4 linked regions of the Drosophila melanogaster genome follow. The protein of the gene in region 4 interacts with the protein of the main gene of each other region in a pairwise test. Each region holds a gene or a part of one and is shown on either strand. Other genes may lie near its edges. The genes, in order: Gint3, Membrin, CG4676 and Faf2.

Evidence for each region.
Region 1: the proteins of Faf2 (region 4) and Gint3 interact in a two-hybrid assay, tested with the Drosophila melanogaster proteins (one large-scale study listed by BioGRID).
Region 2: the proteins of Faf2 (region 4) and Membrin interact in a two-hybrid assay, tested with the Drosophila melanogaster proteins (one large-scale study listed by BioGRID).
Region 3: the proteins of Faf2 (region 4) and CG4676 interact in a two-hybrid assay, tested with the Drosophila melanogaster proteins (one large-scale study listed by BioGRID).

The regions. Positions count from the first base shown.
Region 1 is NT_033778.4:18,657,917-18,663,399, reverse strand, and holds Gint3 (GDI interacting protein 3), read left to right. Parts: upstream 1-1,851; 5' UTR 1,852-2,289; intron 2,290-2,627; exon of another isoform or gene 2,628-2,735; intron 2,736-2,774; 5' UTR 2,775-2,919; coding exon of another isoform or gene 2,920-3,205; intron 3,206-3,275; coding exon of another isoform or gene 3,276-3,355; 5' UTR 3,356-3,360; coding exon 3,361-3,414; intron 3,415-3,469; coding exon 3,470-4,480; intron 4,481-4,543; coding exon 4,544-4,692; intron 4,693-4,751; coding exon 4,752-4,863; 3' UTR 4,864-4,982; downstream 4,983-5,483. Other genes in the region: CG42306 (uncharacterized protein), read left to right, coding at 2,920-3,205, 3,276-3,355.
Region 2 is NT_037436.4:5,364,742-5,367,896, reverse strand, and holds Membrin (membrin), read right to left. Parts: upstream 1,443-3,155; 5' UTR 1,299-1,442; coding exon 1,162-1,298; intron 1,093-1,161; coding exon 579-1,092; 3' UTR 516-578; downstream 1-515. Other genes in the region: Pfdn4 (prefoldin 4), read left to right, coding at 123-494; Uev1A (Ubiquitin-conjugating enzyme variant 1A), read left to right, coding at 1,741-1,768, 2,812-2,954. UniProt on the Drosophila melanogaster protein: Involved in transport of proteins from the cis/medial-Golgi to the trans-Golgi network.
Region 3 is NT_033778.4:13,234,250-13,237,562, reverse strand, and holds CG4676 (uncharacterized protein), read right to left. Parts: upstream 1,584-3,313; 5' UTR 1,549-1,583; coding exon 1,308-1,548; intron 1,256-1,307; coding exon 642-1,255; 3' UTR 508-641; downstream 1-507. Other genes in the region: CG4679 (uncharacterized protein), read left to right, coding at 1-249; Qsox1 (quiescin sulfhydryl oxidase 1), read left to right, coding at 2,666-3,313.
Region 4 is NT_033779.5:18,705,478-18,710,548, forward strand, and holds Faf2 (Fas-associated factor 2), read right to left. Parts: upstream 3,123-5,071; 5' UTR 2,762-3,122; coding exon 2,639-2,761; intron 2,385-2,638; coding exon 1,320-2,384; intron 1,263-1,319; coding exon 1,056-1,262; 3' UTR 533-1,055; downstream 1-532. Other genes in the region: Grip71, read left to right, coding at 3,461-3,650, 3,710-4,004, 4,067-4,908, 4,964-5,071.

The sequences.
Region 1 (5,483 bases), on a different chromosome or scaffold from region 4:
GTCATCCACCATTCATGATTTGCTCCTTCTGCAAACGGCAATCAAGATGAGAACAGCGCTTTGCACATGGAGGAAATATAAGTAATGATTGAGCCAAATTATATGGTTAATTAAATTATATCGATAATACATTTTATCATTGATTTTTTCATATATATGAGCAATGAAGATGTTTTTCTCCCTGTGTAGCCTGTAAACTCCGCGTCTCCTGCACTTCCCATCCAATTGCTTGCTTATGCAAGGCAACGTGACTGTGTGGGCGTGTCATCACTTTCAATTTTGCGGCCAATTTGAGTGACACTTTCTGCCTGTTTGTCACGCCGCTTGCGTAGCCAAAGATTGTGCCACAAAGGGATGGGCAGTGGGGAGTGGTGTTTGGCATGAGGCACGGAGCCACCAAGGAGGACCATCATCATCATCAGGAGGCCTAGAGAAGCAGCGACTTTGTGTGTCTGCTCGTCGTCTGCGGCGCTTCCGTTTCCTGTGCATAAATTTTAATGAGCGAGCCAGATTCCCCGCCTTCAACTCCACCGACTCGGCTGGCCGCCCAATCAAGACACTATCAATGCGAGATAAGAAAATAAATAATATTTTTAAAACAAAAAAAAAACAACCGTCAGTGGGAAAGGAAACCCTTGGCTGTGTCCAGTGTCTCTTACCTTGACTTTCGCGCAGCGAGCACAAAGTCACGGCTATGTTGGCCATAAATTGGCACAACCAGTTTTGGGCCACGGGTGAAAACAAAAGAAAAGCCAAGGCATTGGCCAAATGGTTGCTGCTTTTACTGGCTTTCCCAACCGTGAAATTCGTGCAAGAGGAGTACAGGTGCGTCAGACTGATCGACAGGTGGAGTATCTTTCAGATACATTCATAATACAAGTACTGCATATCAGTAGAAAGTCAGCATACTTACGTCGCAATATAAACTCCAACATTTAACTTAAGAACTTCAAAATATGACATATTCGAGCTGTGAATATAATTGGTTATATAGTTATGAAATCATTGAATCTATTCTTTTGGTAGCTTTATATTTTCCTGTATTCCAGCATACCCCTCCATTGCTGGGAGCCCAGTTTTCTTCTCTCTCCTTCGCAGACTTGGCCACACACAACTCGACGTCTTCAGCTGGCGATTGGAACTAGTTTTTCAGGTTCGGCGCATGGCGGCTGATAACAACAATTGCAATGCGAATGACGCCGGACGACGGCGCATGCGCGCCACTCTTGCATTCCTTTCGATGGCTCTGGGTGCGCAGAACTCTCCCCCCAGCCGTCCCTCCCATCCGGGCATTTGTGGAATTTTAATTGCGCAAAACAAAAAACAAAAAAAAAACTGCAATGATGAGGAGTTGGGGACAGGCAACTGCAATTGCAACCGATGCGATGGTGGCTGGAATGGAATGGGATTGGGAATGGCTGGGAATGACGTTGAATGATGGTTAGTTGCAGCCCGGTTGCAAGTGAGAACATATCGCGTGATGGTGATAGATATAATGGCCATGGGACACAGTGCTCTTGTCATGCCAGAAGATGGGGCTGCAGACACGCCTTGGACTCGAGACTCAAATGCGCAGACTGCTGATTGCGATGGCAAACAGAGCCACAGCCAGATTACACATACAGATATAGAAACAGAAAACCAACGGACCAGAGCAGAACGAAGCCGATGGAAGAAAATCTTACACTCTGCTCGAATTATAAGTCGTCGACATTTTGCCTAACTAACAGTCGCCACGGAAAAATGAGCCAGCATAAATAAAGCCAAGCAAGGCGGAGCGGAATAGAATAGACTGTTTGTGTCTGTTGTTGGCTGCTGGCGTAATTGAAGTTGCAGAAAGCCAGAGACGAGCCAAGCAGCCACAAAACCTAAAACCTAAGAGAGAAGCAACACACCGAGATGGGGGCCATCTCCGCATCCACGTAGCCAGTGGAGCGCGAGGCATGGCGCATACGGAAGCCATAGGCTGCAAGAGATTTCTCTTCTTTGGCCTCCGCTCGACTTTCGGCTGGCTGTTGAACCCGCAGCGCATCGCTGGAGCGTGATCTCCCCGCCCCCAGATAGGCATCCCCAATCTCTCACTCTGCTACCTACTTGGCCGAAAAACATACTCAAGGATGCCATCGAAAATCAATCGCAAAATATGCGAAAGGAAGAGAGATGCCCAGGCTCCAATCGCCGAAAATTACAGGAAGCAAAAGCACTTGGCGAAACGATCGAAAATCATTCAATTACGACAGCTGGCCCTGCATATAAAAAATGGGCGTGTGCTCCACAAAATATCATTATGTAAGCACACGGTGAAAAAAGAGCGGTGGGTTTCGAAATTATTTTGAAAGAATCCAAGGTTGCAAATTTGGAATTAAATATACAAATATTTTAGCAAAATTAATAGTTGGTAGCTACTTTTTGAAATTTTATAATCATTTAAATACACAATTTAATATTTTAGCCTATATTAAAAATGTGGAAAATATTCTTAATAACAACGCCATAAATATTGTTCAATTCACTTCTTCAGGAACTGAATAAGGTCAATAGCAGGTGCACACATTAATTACAGGATGCGGGTGCAGAAATCAAGGCAAATCGAATGAGGTCAGAACCCTCAGGGAAATCCATAAATAATTGTTCCCCCCATTCGAAAATTACAATTTAAATTCAAAACAGGCGCCAAAACAAAGCATTTGGAAATTAACCAGCACTGGAGAGCAGCGAAATACTTTTATCGATAAGTAAGCTGTTGACGCATTTTCATTTGGTATTTTTACTAGCCCGTAGGTATTTACACACAGACCAGCAACGGGCACACCAGCAAAGAAAAAAGTGTTGACGAAATTATTATAATGCTGCGAATATAAACAAAGGATTGCGTTGAAAACGTATTAAATACGATCTTTGGCACTTACCAATCAGGCAATGAGTTTCAATTTCTACGTGGAATCGTTCAATTCAACGTTGCAGTCGATTGCGCGACAAGTGGAGCAATTTGCTGGCGTTGCACTGACGGCAGCCGTCGATCTGCGCGGAAATCTGGAATCTTTGACCGGTGACTTTCGTTGGGAAAACGGACCCATTGCCTTCACCGATCTGCAGGCGACACTGCTGAAGGTGCTTATCGTGCTGCTTCTGGGCACCTGCGTACTAGCCGGCTATTCGTGGTCCATTTACGGCAAAGTCATTACGGAGAAGTTTGTCAGGCCAAGTAGGAATATGCTTAAAATCAGGATGTTACGATAAGTTTACTTAAACGAAGGCCACGTCTTGCATTTCAGGCACGCTCAAGGAAATCGAGGAGCTTAAATTGTCGGTGGCCAAGTTGAAGCTGCCCAAGGAACACTCGCCGCGCATCTAGAAACCATGTCCAAGATTAAGAAGTTCTTTTCGCGGAAGAAGGCGGAGGCTGCCTTTAAGGTGGGTTCTTTCTTTAGCCAAGCCATTGGAAATCCCTTACCAAGTTCGTTTACAGCTCAATTTAACTGGCAGCGGCATGGGCACTGGCCACAAGCTGAATTCCCCCAAACAGGAGACTCCTTCAAGTAGTTCCCGCCAAAAGTATGAGGCCTATGTGCCACCAAAGCGAAATGAAATAAGTAACGAGGCCAGGGCAGCTGCCAGTGCGGCACTGGCGCGCATTGACAAGAAAACATCCAGGGAATTCAATACCTCGCTGTCGGCAGTGAAGGCACAGGCTAAAAGAGAGCTGGAGGCAGAGCGTCGCCAGAGAGAGGAAGCCATGGGCACGCCATCAACGACCAGCACATCCACATCGGCTTCCGGCGGCGACACTCGCAACCTGGCCTGCGAAGGCGTCTTCTTCCGCTGCCCCCTAATCAGCGAGGAGATTCTACCCAAGAGCGTGTGGAAGGTTCGCATCAAAGAGTTCCTCTACCAGCAGCTGGAGGCAGATCGCGGCCTCACCGCCTGCCTGATCATCCACAATTGCAATGTTAAGGAGAAGGCCGACGAGTGCATTGCCACGCTAATCCGATATCTGGAGAATCTTATCAAGAATCCCGAGGAGGAGAAGTTCTGCAAGATACGGATGTCCAACAAAATCTTCAGCGAAAAGGTGCGCTACGTGGAGGGTGCCCTGGATGTTCTGCAAGCAGCGGGCTTCAACGAGGTCCAGATCGATGGCGAACCCTTCCTTTTGTGGACCAAGGAGCAGACGGAGAAGGATCTCGACTTGCCCACACTAGTGGAAGCTCTCAAGAGCTCGGAGATTATTCCCCTGGAGCTGGATCGCAACATTAAGGTCCTACTTCCATCGCAGGCATGTCGTGTCGCCCTCCCCGACGAGTTTTATCGCCTGTCGCCGGAGGAGATCAAGAAAGAGCAACAGCTGCGATCCGAGGCCATTGCCCAGTCACAGATGCTGCGGACAAAGGCGATGCGGGAACGCGAGGAGCAGCGCAATTTGCGCATGTATCGATACGCTTTAGTCAGGGTTAAATTTCCCAATGGACTCTTTATACAAGTAAGCCATTCCGCGATGATGTCATCTGAAGTAATTTTATGTAATAAGCCGAATCATTTTCAGGGCACTTTCAATGTGTACGAAAAAATATCCGATGTGTTCGAGTTTGTCCAATCTTGCCTGGCGGACGAAAGCCTGGATTTTAGCTTGGTGTCCAACAGCGATGGCAAACTGGGCGATGAGGACTTGGAAAAGACACTATATGACTGCAAGTGAGTGATGCAATAATGTTTTCTTTAGGTACAACACTACATGATTTCCTTCATTTCAGACTCATTCCGAACACTCTGCTGCTGTTTAGCGCCAATGATACACCCGCTCCTTTGCAAACGGATATAAACTACTTAAAGGAAGACCTTCTAATGCTGGTGCAGGCTATGTAGAAGTGCTTTAACCCATATATTCAGCGGTATTTGTCCCTTATATTATAACAGAGCTGTTGTTATTTATTACTTTCAAATCTATTATTCAAAATCAATTATAAACGCACTTTACACAAAAGAAAATTTCTTTAAATTAATTTGGTTATTTGGCTGTTGCTACTTGTTCGCTTGAAATTTATTTATATTAAAAACTTATTTTTATATATTTGCTTAACTAAATACATACTTTCAAGCCACTGTGCGTCAAACAGCTGTTTGGTATCTTTTTGGCTGCGGTATTTCAGGTGGGCTTTTAAGCTTACCTGCAAACGGTCTTACTTATTGCAAAAATAAACAAAAATTGCAACGCTAGCAAGTGGAAATTGACGAATTATTATTTAACTATGAGCTTAAACTGTGAGCTGTGAGGAATTGTGAAAAGTGCACGAATCGCTGAACTATTTGGTGCTATGTAAATGTTAGTGAGTACGCAAGTCTAGAATCATATGTTTGTACCAAACAATAACAAAGTGCGGCCAATTGCATTTTGACCATAATTCCATTAACAAATGCCTAATTGTTGCTTAGTCACATTAGTTTCGGGGCTCAAAAAGTCATAAATAATGCCATTAATAAGCGGA
Region 2 (3,155 bases), on a different chromosome or scaffold from region 4:
AGTATGGGTGAATCATCAAAGGACAGCTGACTAAGATGAAAAGTAACCTCACTTTGTCATGGTTTTTTCTGTGCATCTGCTCAATTGAAATTTATGATATATATTTTAAATCGCATTTTCAGCACGATGACGTGCACATCTCCTTCGAGGATCAGCAGCGGATCAACCGCTTTGCGAAGCACAACGCCCGCATGGATGACTTCAAAGCGGAGCTGGAAACGAAGCGCAATGAGCTGAAGAGCTTGGAGGAGGCGCTGGAGGAGATTGAGCTGTTCGACGAGGACGAGGACATACCGTTCCTGGTTGGCGAGGTGTTCCTCTCGCACAAGCTGGAGAAAACACAGGACATGCTGAAGGAGACCAAGGAGCAGGTGCTCAAGGAGATCGCCGGCGTGGAGGCCAAGGCGAAGGTTATCAAGGCGGAAATGGACGAGCTGAAGGCTCATCTGTACCAGCGGTTCGGCAGCAATATCTCACTGGAGGCCGAGGATTAATCCACAATTGATCAATTGTTAATTTAACATTTTACAAAATAGAGTACATTTAATTTAAACTCAACTAAACGCGATGTCTTCAGATTAGAGCACTAGGAAATAGATGATCAGGGCGATGATAAGCAAGGTGACCACCACTCCTCCGATGAATATCCGACGATCCTCGACCAGCCGGCGTTCAATAAGTTTCATCGTGTGATTGGACAGACCCAGTGTGCTGCCTATCGCCTGGATTCTCTTGTGCGCTCCGCCCAGCGTCATTCTCTGCGAGATCAGGCTCTCGAGAATGCCGCTGCCCGAGGCAATCATGTCGTCCACACCCCGATGGGCGTTACCCAGCTGCGTATGATGCTGCAGTTCGTAGTCCAATTGCAGGCGCGTTTCCTCCGGCTGCGCGCTGTTTGCCGTGAATCTGTGATTCAGCAGCTGTTCCCTCTCGGAGATCTCCTGCATCCGTCGCTGTCTTCGTTCCCGCGCCGTCTGCAGTGATGTCTGCAGGTGTCTCAGGTCATATTTCAGCTGATCCACACGAAGTTTGGAGCTTTGTCGCTGCGAAGGTGGCACCTTATACAACAGCACATCCAACCGATCGCAGTTTCTAAACACAAAAGATTTATTTAATAATACAAACTCCTCTTGGGATAATATATATCATTGTAGAACTCACGCGTTCGCCTGGGTAATCTTCAATTGAATGCCGTTTTCCACGTCAAGCGATTCCTGGGCACTGAGCTGACTCAGTCGCTGGAAATCGCGCTCGATGTCCTTTACCACATTGTTGGTTTGGTGGTACAAGCTCTCCATGTCGTTACACCTATTGATTCCGCATTAATTTATGGGCCCGAGAATATTCGCAAATTAATATTTAATCGGTTGCAATTGGTTTGTTTTTAAAAAAGCTGACGCGTTAACATTGGACAGAGTGTCATGTTAGTTAACAGCACTGATAGCAGAGCAGCTGGCTGCCGTTTTTGGTATGACCATATATTATGACAAACTTATCAGCTAATGCAACTATTAAATTTCCTTTTTATTTTCAGAGAATATGCTATATATTGTTAAATAATGATTTTTAATTAGTGACCAAATATTGCACTTGACGGCGCTGTTAAGTGTTACCACTGTTAACGGTGTAAAAATCAGAGTTGTTAAGCAAGCCAAGCAAAACCTAAACCGCACTGGTCACATCGCACTGGAAACGCGTTAGCACACTTTTACGGTATTTTAGCACTTAGCATTAACCACAATGGCGAATACATCAAGTACCGGCGTTGGTAAGAAATAAAATTGATAAATTAGCAATTTGGCAGCTTAAAAATGCGATCCCCGCACGCCCGGAGTTGTTGGCCATCCGTTTTCTGCATTTCCCGCTGACCGGCGGCGATTTTTCCGCCGCTACGGACCCGACAAGCGGACCGCAATGTGATTGTGTGTGTGGTGCAAAACGGGCAAAAAGAAGACGAAAGCAAGGGCGAAAGACGAAAGCCGATAAAAGCGAAATGGGCGAATGGAAATTTATTTTCGCCAGCGGACCACGCTGCTCTTGCAATTTTCCTTGGCCGCGTTTGGCGTTGGAAAAACTCCGTTGCAATTGGGCTTCGTGACTTGACATTTTCCGAAATATCATCCCCGCTCCTTCCTCACTATGTGGCTCTCGCTCGCTCGCTCGCGCACGCTCTTCTTCTTGCCTTCATACTTAAAGTTTTTTCTTTATTTTCCTTATTTTTTGCACACTTGCGTTTTTGCAAGCTGCCTTGTCTTTTCTAATTAAATTAGCTGCCATTTACATTTGCCTGGATTGTTTTTGCAAATGCAGAAATTATGCTTTCGCCCCGCCCCCGCCGACACACCCTCCCCCCGCGCCCATCGTGCTTAATATCTGCGCTTCGCATTTTTTTTTTTTGACTTGTGTTCTCTGCACGAAAATGCGTACAAAGTCACACGGCCGAAAACAAAAACAACACGAGAAGCAGAGCGCAAAACAACAACAACACGTACCCATATGACCCCACACTGAGAGGAAAAGTCGCCGAAATATCACCGAAAATGGTTTATACCATAGAAAATGTGTAGAACAGTCCTTACTAGTTTGTTTCTAAATAGATAAAACTGTCGTTTATAATTATATATATGTATCTTATCTGTACGAGCCCGTGATTATAATTATTTAGAAAGCTAAGTACTTTCTTGCCCCGCCAACCAGAAAATTAAAAACAAGCTGACATTTAACTTAATGACTATATTTAAAGATTTAAGTTTTTCAGTGAAAATGCATTATGTCATCGAGTTCTCACCTCTTTGCCGTTTCACATTGCAGTGGTGCCACGGAATTTCCGCTTACTGGAGGAGCTGGATCAGGGCCAGAAGGGCGTGGGCGATGGCACCATATCGTGGGGCCTGGAGAACGACGACGACATGACGCTCACCTACTGGATCGGCATGATCATCGGTCCGCCTAGAGTAAGTTTCCATATCGATTGGACTTTCCTCGCTACGTCACCAGATAAGCCCGGTTTATTAGGCAATTCTGTAGGATTATTGACATCTTATCGCTTAGATTGCGCAGACCATTCAGTTTGGATAGCACCTTGTATCTTTGAAGGCAGTTTATCTCTTCAGTGCGATGGAATTTGATAATATTTGCATTTCATTAGCACCGCT
Region 3 (3,313 bases), on a different chromosome or scaffold from region 4:
TTCGCCCACATTGACAAGAACCAGCACAGAATTCCCGGAACACCAAGCCTAAATGCTCTGATAGAATTTGTGGACGCAAGTGTGCAGGAGAAGTCACCCAGCCAGGCGCTGTTTGCCCTGCAATATGCCGTTGAGAACAACTTTGATTCCAGGGAGTTAGCCAAACGTATTCATGAAGGATTTACCCTAAATGAAACACACCTGTCTAAGCTGAAATCGCTCGTAGGCGAAAGTTTCCTCGATAAGTAGTAGAGTCTTTTGTAAATTATATAATGAACGCTGTTAAATAAATAACCATTTAATAAATACTTGTTTGGTTTCATTAAACAGATTAATTTAATACATATAATAGACATTACTGAATGAATACACAGTATTCTAAATATTTTGTAAAGCTTTATGTTAATAAAAGGCTTTGTACTATTTTAACTTGTAAGCTGATCAAATGTGTGACTTGTAAACATTAAAAATTAATTTCCATTGGTCAAGTAGAGAATAGTAAGACGTATAAATTTGGATACTATTTCCAATTCAGATGTTGACTAGTGAGTCTTAAAATAAACAATACTGATTTTGTTATGAAGTAGATATAAGTAAATGCCTCTAATGAATGTCAAGAATGGGTAAGACACAATTCAGATCTATTCCTCCTTTGGAGAAAAGGCGGCTATGGGTTCCCAGTTCATTCCGTCGTGTGGCAGATCGCTGCGTAGAAACGGCGACAGCCAGGTGAGATGCATTCTCTTGCCCAGAACCATCTCCAGGTTACCCCGCAAACCGCGATCGTACTTTCTTGTGCCGCGCTCTCGTGTCACCGAACCGCTCTTGAATATCGACCAGTGGAAGACAAGGAGCAAGGATGATATGGCGAAGCCCAGAAGGGTGAGATCATATATGACCAAGTAGAAGGACTCCCAGCTTGGAGACAGCATCAGGCTAACCACGGGAGCAAATATGGTGAACAGCGTAGACCAGCGCCAGTAGATGTCCAGATGGAGATGCCACAGATAGATGCTCTCCATGATGGCGGCCGCCAAGGATCCGATGATCATGTAAACCAGGTAGTAGAAGAAGTACCTGTAGTTGTGATGCCCGATGCAGCAGCAAGTGAACCGACAGTGGTGGTCCCGCTTCAGCACGCACACGTTGCACACTTCGCAGTGCCAGGATCGAGGTGGCACCAATGTCTGACAATCCTGGCAAGAGTGCCACCGTGCCAGCTGCGCCGCATCCAACGGTGGCTTCAGCAGCTCCTCTATAAAGACAATCTTAGAAGGGATACCACAAAATCACTGCTTGCTACCCACTGCGGATACTAGTGTCCACAAGCATGCAGGCCAGCATGTTGGATGTGATGTTGAAGATGAGGAACAGGCTGGCCAACCATAATAACGTGTACCAAATCCCTCCGATGGCAAACAGTTCCGGCATAACAATGGTCACATGGAAGATGTATGTCACGGGCACAAAGACAGCCACCAGGAGGAAACATGCGAAATCCGAAATGGAACGAGGTTTAACGCGATCCCACGAGCGCAAAATCATCATGCTCCCGTTATTTTTTGTACCCCCCAACTGAGACAGTGCTGCAAAGCGATTTTTGGCTCTGCTGCTAACGGTAAGACTGTTAAGTCGAGTATGGTGAAACGGTTAGAACACAACTCTTTACGTTAGGAAACCCGTAAAATGTTAAATAAGATTGAATTTAACAGAAGCAATCCGGTTTTTAAAGAACACAAATGATTTAATTTAAAGAAATATAAATATATAAGGTAATAATAAGTAACTTAATACGAATAAATCAAATGTCATAAACGATGGTATATTAAAGGAATACAAATGTTATAAGCTTAAGTTCTTAAGTTTGCTTTATATTATTACATAAAAACTTGAAATTAAAAATAAAATTTTATTTGAAATTAAAGAACGACTTTATAATGGGGATTTCTACTGTGAAATTACAAAAACAAAAACCATACAAAATTGATAAGGCATAGCGCTTCGATGAAACTTTGCTTTGTTTTTTTTCTTGGAACTTTTAAAGGCGATTCAATTAATATATACGTGTGCATAATAGGTTGGGGTTTTTTTTTGCGGATTATCGAAAACCATATGACGAACGAGACAATAAAATAAAAGAATATGTTTAACTAAACAATGTAAAGTTTTAAATTGTGAAAAATAATCATTTCCTTGATGTAGAGTGCAAGCAGGTATAAAACATTGCCTAGCCTAGGTGCACTGTTCTTTTTATATTACTTTAATAATTTTTTTCTTTTTTAGGTTTTAAAATTTTGGGAGCGAACTAGTTCGCAGTAAAAATGAATTCGTGTAGCTAGTAGTTTATACATATATACCAAATGACTTTTACTGACAATAAAACAAATTAATAGGCAAAGTAATTTAAAAATGCACAAATTATATGGCACGAAAAACGTTTAACATCGTTTCGCTTCGCGAGTTTTGAAAATAGCTGAAGAATCGTAGCTAGAAAGCAGACGATTTGGCATCCCTGGCAGCAGTTAATCAAACCACTTGCGACCGTAAAACATTCCAAATGCTTCGGTGAAGTTAAATCTTATCGCAGCAGAGCAGTCGCGTTCCACATCGCATTCCGTACGAATCGCAGCCGCAACCGATCCCGCAAATTGGGTAGATCCGCAAAATGTCGGCGACGCACCTGGTGATTCTGGCCGTCGCTCTGCTGGTGGACATCGCATCCGCGGGCGTTCCCCTTCCGCGATACGAGGCGCTCCTCAAGCAGCAGTCCCCTCCATCGGATCCCACACTGGGTCTCTACGACGACGGGGATAAGGTTATCCGCCTGTCGGTCGACAACTTCAATGCTACCGTCCTGGACCAGAATCGCGGAGCATTAGTCGAGTTCTACAACACTTACTGCGGCCACTGTCGCAGATTCGCACCCACGTACAAGTCGGTAGCGGAGCACCTGTTGCCCTGGTCCGAGGTGCTCATCGTGGCGGCCATCGATTGCGCCGCCGAGGAGAACAATGGCATCTGCCGCAACTACGAGGTGATGGGCTATCCAACGCTACGTTATCTGGGCCCCGGTTTCCAGCCGGGTCCTCAGCATTACGGGCAGAGCCTGCATACGCAGGATAAAAACGAAATCCGCGAAATACTAGCGGGTATGGTGGCCGCAGAGAACCTGACCAGCAGCCACAACAATTCCTACTGGCCAAACTTTCACTACTTAACGGAGAACGATTCAGCCAGCAGTTTGTTCGAAGGTCTCAGCAGCGCCACGGAGTACGTGGCAGTGGTTCACGAACCGGAGAACACCACTCTAGGC
Region 4 (5,071 bases):
TCCACGTTGAGCAGATTAGAAGTCAACTGCCGAATTTTCAGCCGCAAGCCAGTGGTTGCTGATTTTCCCCTTTTCCCGGGCAGCAGACGCGTTCTCTCGTCGTCGGTGAACCAGTCGTTATTGTCCTCTTGCTCACTATTATCCTCCAATCCTCGGAATTCCAGCGTATATTCAGATTTTCACACGACTCCGTCGTGACTTTCGTGCTGACTAACAAGCAATGACTATAGGATTCTGGAGGTGGACTCGTGACTGCTGCCGTGAGGGCACTCGACGCACTTTTTAACTTTACCTTTTTTAATCAGTCGCTAGCAATTAAATTGTCAAATCAATTGACATTTCATCAATTAAAATATTACTTGAATAATAAATTAAATTTTAGGCCATAAGTACGTGAGTCGCAATAGCCCATCACCATGAGCTATCGATAGGTACAAATGGCGTTGCCACACCAAAAATTCAAAAATATATTTTGAACTTAAATTTGGTTTTTCCTTTGATATTCAGTAAACTTACGAGAAGCCCATATTTTAGAAAAGCACTTGTTTGGTGTTTTAAAGTAATATCTGTATAACTATATTTTTTATGATCAACTGTCCCGAACTTGTGTATTTGAACGTTCTCACTTTAAATGATTATTTATATCTTCAATCTAAACTCAAATTCAAATTGAATTCAAGCTCTCTGTCAAATAACAAGAATGTGCCTCTATTATTCGTTAAATAGACGGAAGTATAAGTACAGCTAACATAACAACGCATCTTAAATAAAAAGAACTAAATTGTGGTTCACGGAAATTATTCTGGAAACGATTTTTACTGATGTGTGAATGTTTGAGAAACGGGTTGGTTGATGGTGTTGGGCAGATCAGAGAATCAACCTAAACATTGTTAAACAATTATTAATATTAATGTTCATGATTAAATTAGGAATAGTTTCTCTATTTATCCTCCGACTTGGACGTTGACTACGACTACTTAAAACTTGGTTCAAGTTTTGGTAATGCGTTGCTGCTGGTAACACGATGATGCTTTCATTTGGTAGGTGGTGCTTGGTTACGCTTCCAGATCGTTAACGAACAGCACCTCGCGGTTCTTGAGTCCTACGGCCTGAAGGGTTTTGGTCAGCGTCTCCTTGGCTGTGCCTGTTTCCCCAGCGGCATCCAAGTTCGCTTTCGAGAAGAGCACGCGCTTCGGGAAATTCGTTGTGATCTCGAACTCATCCGGCGAATCGGGATGGCAGAAGAGATAGTGATAAACGTCCTGCAATAACATCAAATCATCAATCCCAAATTAGCAGTTTAAATTTGTGTAACTTACAAGCACCGAATCCGTCTGGTTAAATCGGCGCTCTAGGCGTGTTCCACTGGGCAGCTTGAATACAACTGCAATGGCGCCGACAGCATCCGCTGCCGGCTCGGATGGCACCAATGTGGCCAGCTCGATCTTTTGCCGGGCAATCTCCTCCTTGCGAAGCTCGACATCGCGTCGAGCTTGTTCCACAGCCTCCTCCGCCTGCCGGACGGCATCCCGCTCCCTTTGCCGCTGACGCTCCTTCTCCTCGTCCGCAAGCAAACTCTGCTCGTATGCCTCGTCCTGCTGTCTTCTTAAAGTCTGTGTAAAATTCCGCTCTAAGCGATCTGCACGCGCTTGACTCAGCCACACCTCGTTGGCGTTCGTCACCGACTGGAGGCGACGGAGCAGCTCTTCGGGCGTGCAATCCCCCTCGAAACGTCCGACGATCATCATGCGATTTGCTCGAAGGCTGATCATCACCATCGTTGGGTAGCTGCGCACCGTTATCGACTGCATCACCCGGTAGCCCTCCGGCGTGGCTACGTCGCATCCCCATAACAGGGTGTGTGTGTTAATGTAGTCAATGACCGATCTCGCCGACAGTGTGTTGCGGCAGAAGGATTCCACATCTGGGTTCTTGGCGGGATCCTTGTGCAGGTAAACGATTAGAAAACGCAGCTCCTGCTTAGCATCGTTAAGGGCCTGGGCATATGTGCCCTGATAGAAGACCGGGTGCTCGGGATACCTTTCGTAGTATTCCCTAATAAACTTCATCACATCCCCCAGTGGATCTGTCACCAAGCGGGCTTCGTTTCCTCCGCCCAGGTTCACAAACGCACTGACGATGCTCGTCAGCGTGGAGTAGAAGTACTGAAACACGAAGTTAATCACATATCCAATGATGCCGGTGAAGCTGCGGGGAACGGGGCCACTGGGCACCCGGCTAACCGTCCTTCCGCCAGGCATGTTGGCGGAAAACACCTGCTGCAGGAAGCGATCGTTAAGGACAGCGGGCGCTCGGACATCTGTAGAGGCGGCGAACATGGTCGGACGCCCCTCGCGGATATTTAGCTGCTCCTGGAAGGCCACCTGCATATGTAGATATGAAAAAGGGTAAATAAGCTGGTATTTAGTATAGCAGGGCGCCCAACGCAAAATTGTAAAAAACAAATTTAAAAAGAATTTAGAATAAAATGATTACTATCTTTAGTCGTCAGATAATATATATGTACAAAACTTGTTGGTAGTAGTATTCTTGCAGCCACCACTGTATGCAAGACTGCAAGACTACGTGACCCTGTTATTTTGACATTCACTGTGTGGGCATATAAACATATGCATACCTCGAGATCCCATTGGTGTCTGATTAGGACGTCGCGGCAGACGTTCATATCCTCGATGCCGGTGAGATCCTGGAACTGGAGGACCTTCTCCGTCTGTTCGTTGGTCAGTCCATCAGCTTCCATCTTTCCTGCAGTTGAAGGCCTCCGTTCCCAGTTGTTATCGTTGTTGTTTGCTTTTACGCAGTGCGTGCGTGTGTGTGCTTGTGTGGGTGCCAATGGCCCGTGACTGTCTCCCTGGTGTTGTTTTTGTTGTAAGCTGGCCTTTGTCCAGTGGCTCAGCCGCTGCGGCGGGGGACGGGGGATGAGTAGCGTGGTCACTAAATGCTTCTACTGGTCGCCAGGAGTCATTTCAACGCACGCCAAATTGCCGCACTACAACGTCTTTAACATTTCTCGGCAATTTATTTCTTTTTCGCAGGTGATTGCTTGCTCTTCTTCTTGCCTTTCTGCCAATGATCCGATGAATTTGGTTGTGAATGACTAGTGTGACCGCGCAGGCCGACGCGTTCTCACTGCGAAATCCAGCGGCAAACAAACAATTTGTGTTCGCTTTTTAAAAAATTATTTTTATTATTTATTTGATCTCTATGCCTGGCGTGGTAAAACACAGAAAAAGATTAAAAGCAATATTGATATATAATTCAAAGGTGTTAGATAAGGACAATGTGTAGTGGAATCAGCATATTTGTCTAACATCACTTGGAAAATCGACGGACGAGCTTTGGAATTTTCAGGTAATAAAGCAGCGGGCACATTCTTAAATCAGTCCGAACAAAAGCACTCAAATTTGAATTGTGTAAATATCTGAAGAAATAAATCAAAATGCATGTTATTTCCACGTCTAAAAAAACCGTGCTCTCCGACTTCGCGGATCTGGAGACAAAGTCTGAGTATGTGCACCAGAACGCAGAGCCCACGGACTTTCAGTTCAACGGCCAACGCCGGGTCTTCGTGGAGGTGGATAAAATGGCGGGCTTGGCCGTGATGCGAATAAAGGAGAAGGATGGCAAGAGTAAGAGAGAGGTGCGGATCCCCAAATCCCACGTATGTAATTAACTTCCCATTTCACAGCGCCCGAGATTCAACGAGTCCGTAAGCTCACCATCGACAATGCCTTCTGTGTGGCGTGCGCCAAGCAATCCCTGGAAGAGATCGCTGTGGGTCAGAGCGGTTGTGTTAAGCTATACAACTTTCGGACGGCACAGCTCATCCATCGTTTTCCGGCGGACCCGCAAAGGAGTACTGTCCTCTACATGGACTACAACAACACGGACGAGTATATAGCCGCCGTGCGCGATGGCGGGGACATCAGTATCTTGGGTACCAAGACCAAACAGAAGACCAACACCTTCACCATAGATGGCGAGTAAGTTAAAGGCTTGCTTGTTAAAGGATTGCATTGATCTTTCGCTATCCTGTTAATATCAGCTCTACTCTTGTGCGCTTTCATCCGAGCAAACGCTTTCATCTGTCGATCGCTTCCTATAAAGGAGCCGTGACTGTCTATGATGTGCAGGGAATGCGAAAGATTTTTCATGCCAGCGAAGCCCACAGTGCTCCCTGCCGGGACATCAGTATGTGCACATCCCAACCGGCACTGCTGGTCAGCGTGGGCTACGATTGCAAGATAAATATCTTCGACATTCGACGAAATCGTGCTCAGGCCTCTACGGATCGCTTGACCTACTCGCATCCACTATCGACGGTGGCGCTGAGTGAATGTGGCACTTATCTTTGTGCTGGAAACCTTAAGGGCGAATTAATAGCCTATGATATGAGGAGTACAAAGGCTCCGTTGGCCGTGAGGAGTGTACATGATGCGGCTGTAACACGTGTAGCCTTTGTGCCCGTGCCAAGTGGGGATAACCAGCAGAACGGTAGCCTCAACAGCTCCGAAAATGCAACTGGTTTGGCGACCGAAGCTCCTCGTGTAGAGCGTGCGCCCAGCGATGAGTTGCGTAAATCGATTGCCGCTAATTTGTTGAGCACCCAAAACCAGCTGACCAGTCTTGGTTACGGGGTGTCAACACCTACCATAGTTCGCCGGGATTCCTTTTGCGAGTTCCTGGATGCCCAAGGTCCAAGAGCTGTGGATCGCATGTCGACCCGCTTGGGCGCCTCTTACAGAGATAGTTTTGACTGGGAGACGCTCAACCGAAAACCGCAACCTTATGAAACTGCCAATCGTCAAAGTCTTTGTCCTCCAGTGGCGTCTGGCCCAAGCTCGGTGGATAACTCCGTCAACAGCTCCACCACGGAGTCACTGCAACGCAAGTTACTGTAGAGATTATTATTTTTTAGTTATAATAAGCTTATTACTTGCAGAGACCTTAAGCGGCCCACTGAAGGATCGGAGCAACATTTCCGGAGACGGAAAGCTGATGAAGATTGCCGAGACGGACGAGCTCTGCGAGGAGCAGTCTGCCAACATTT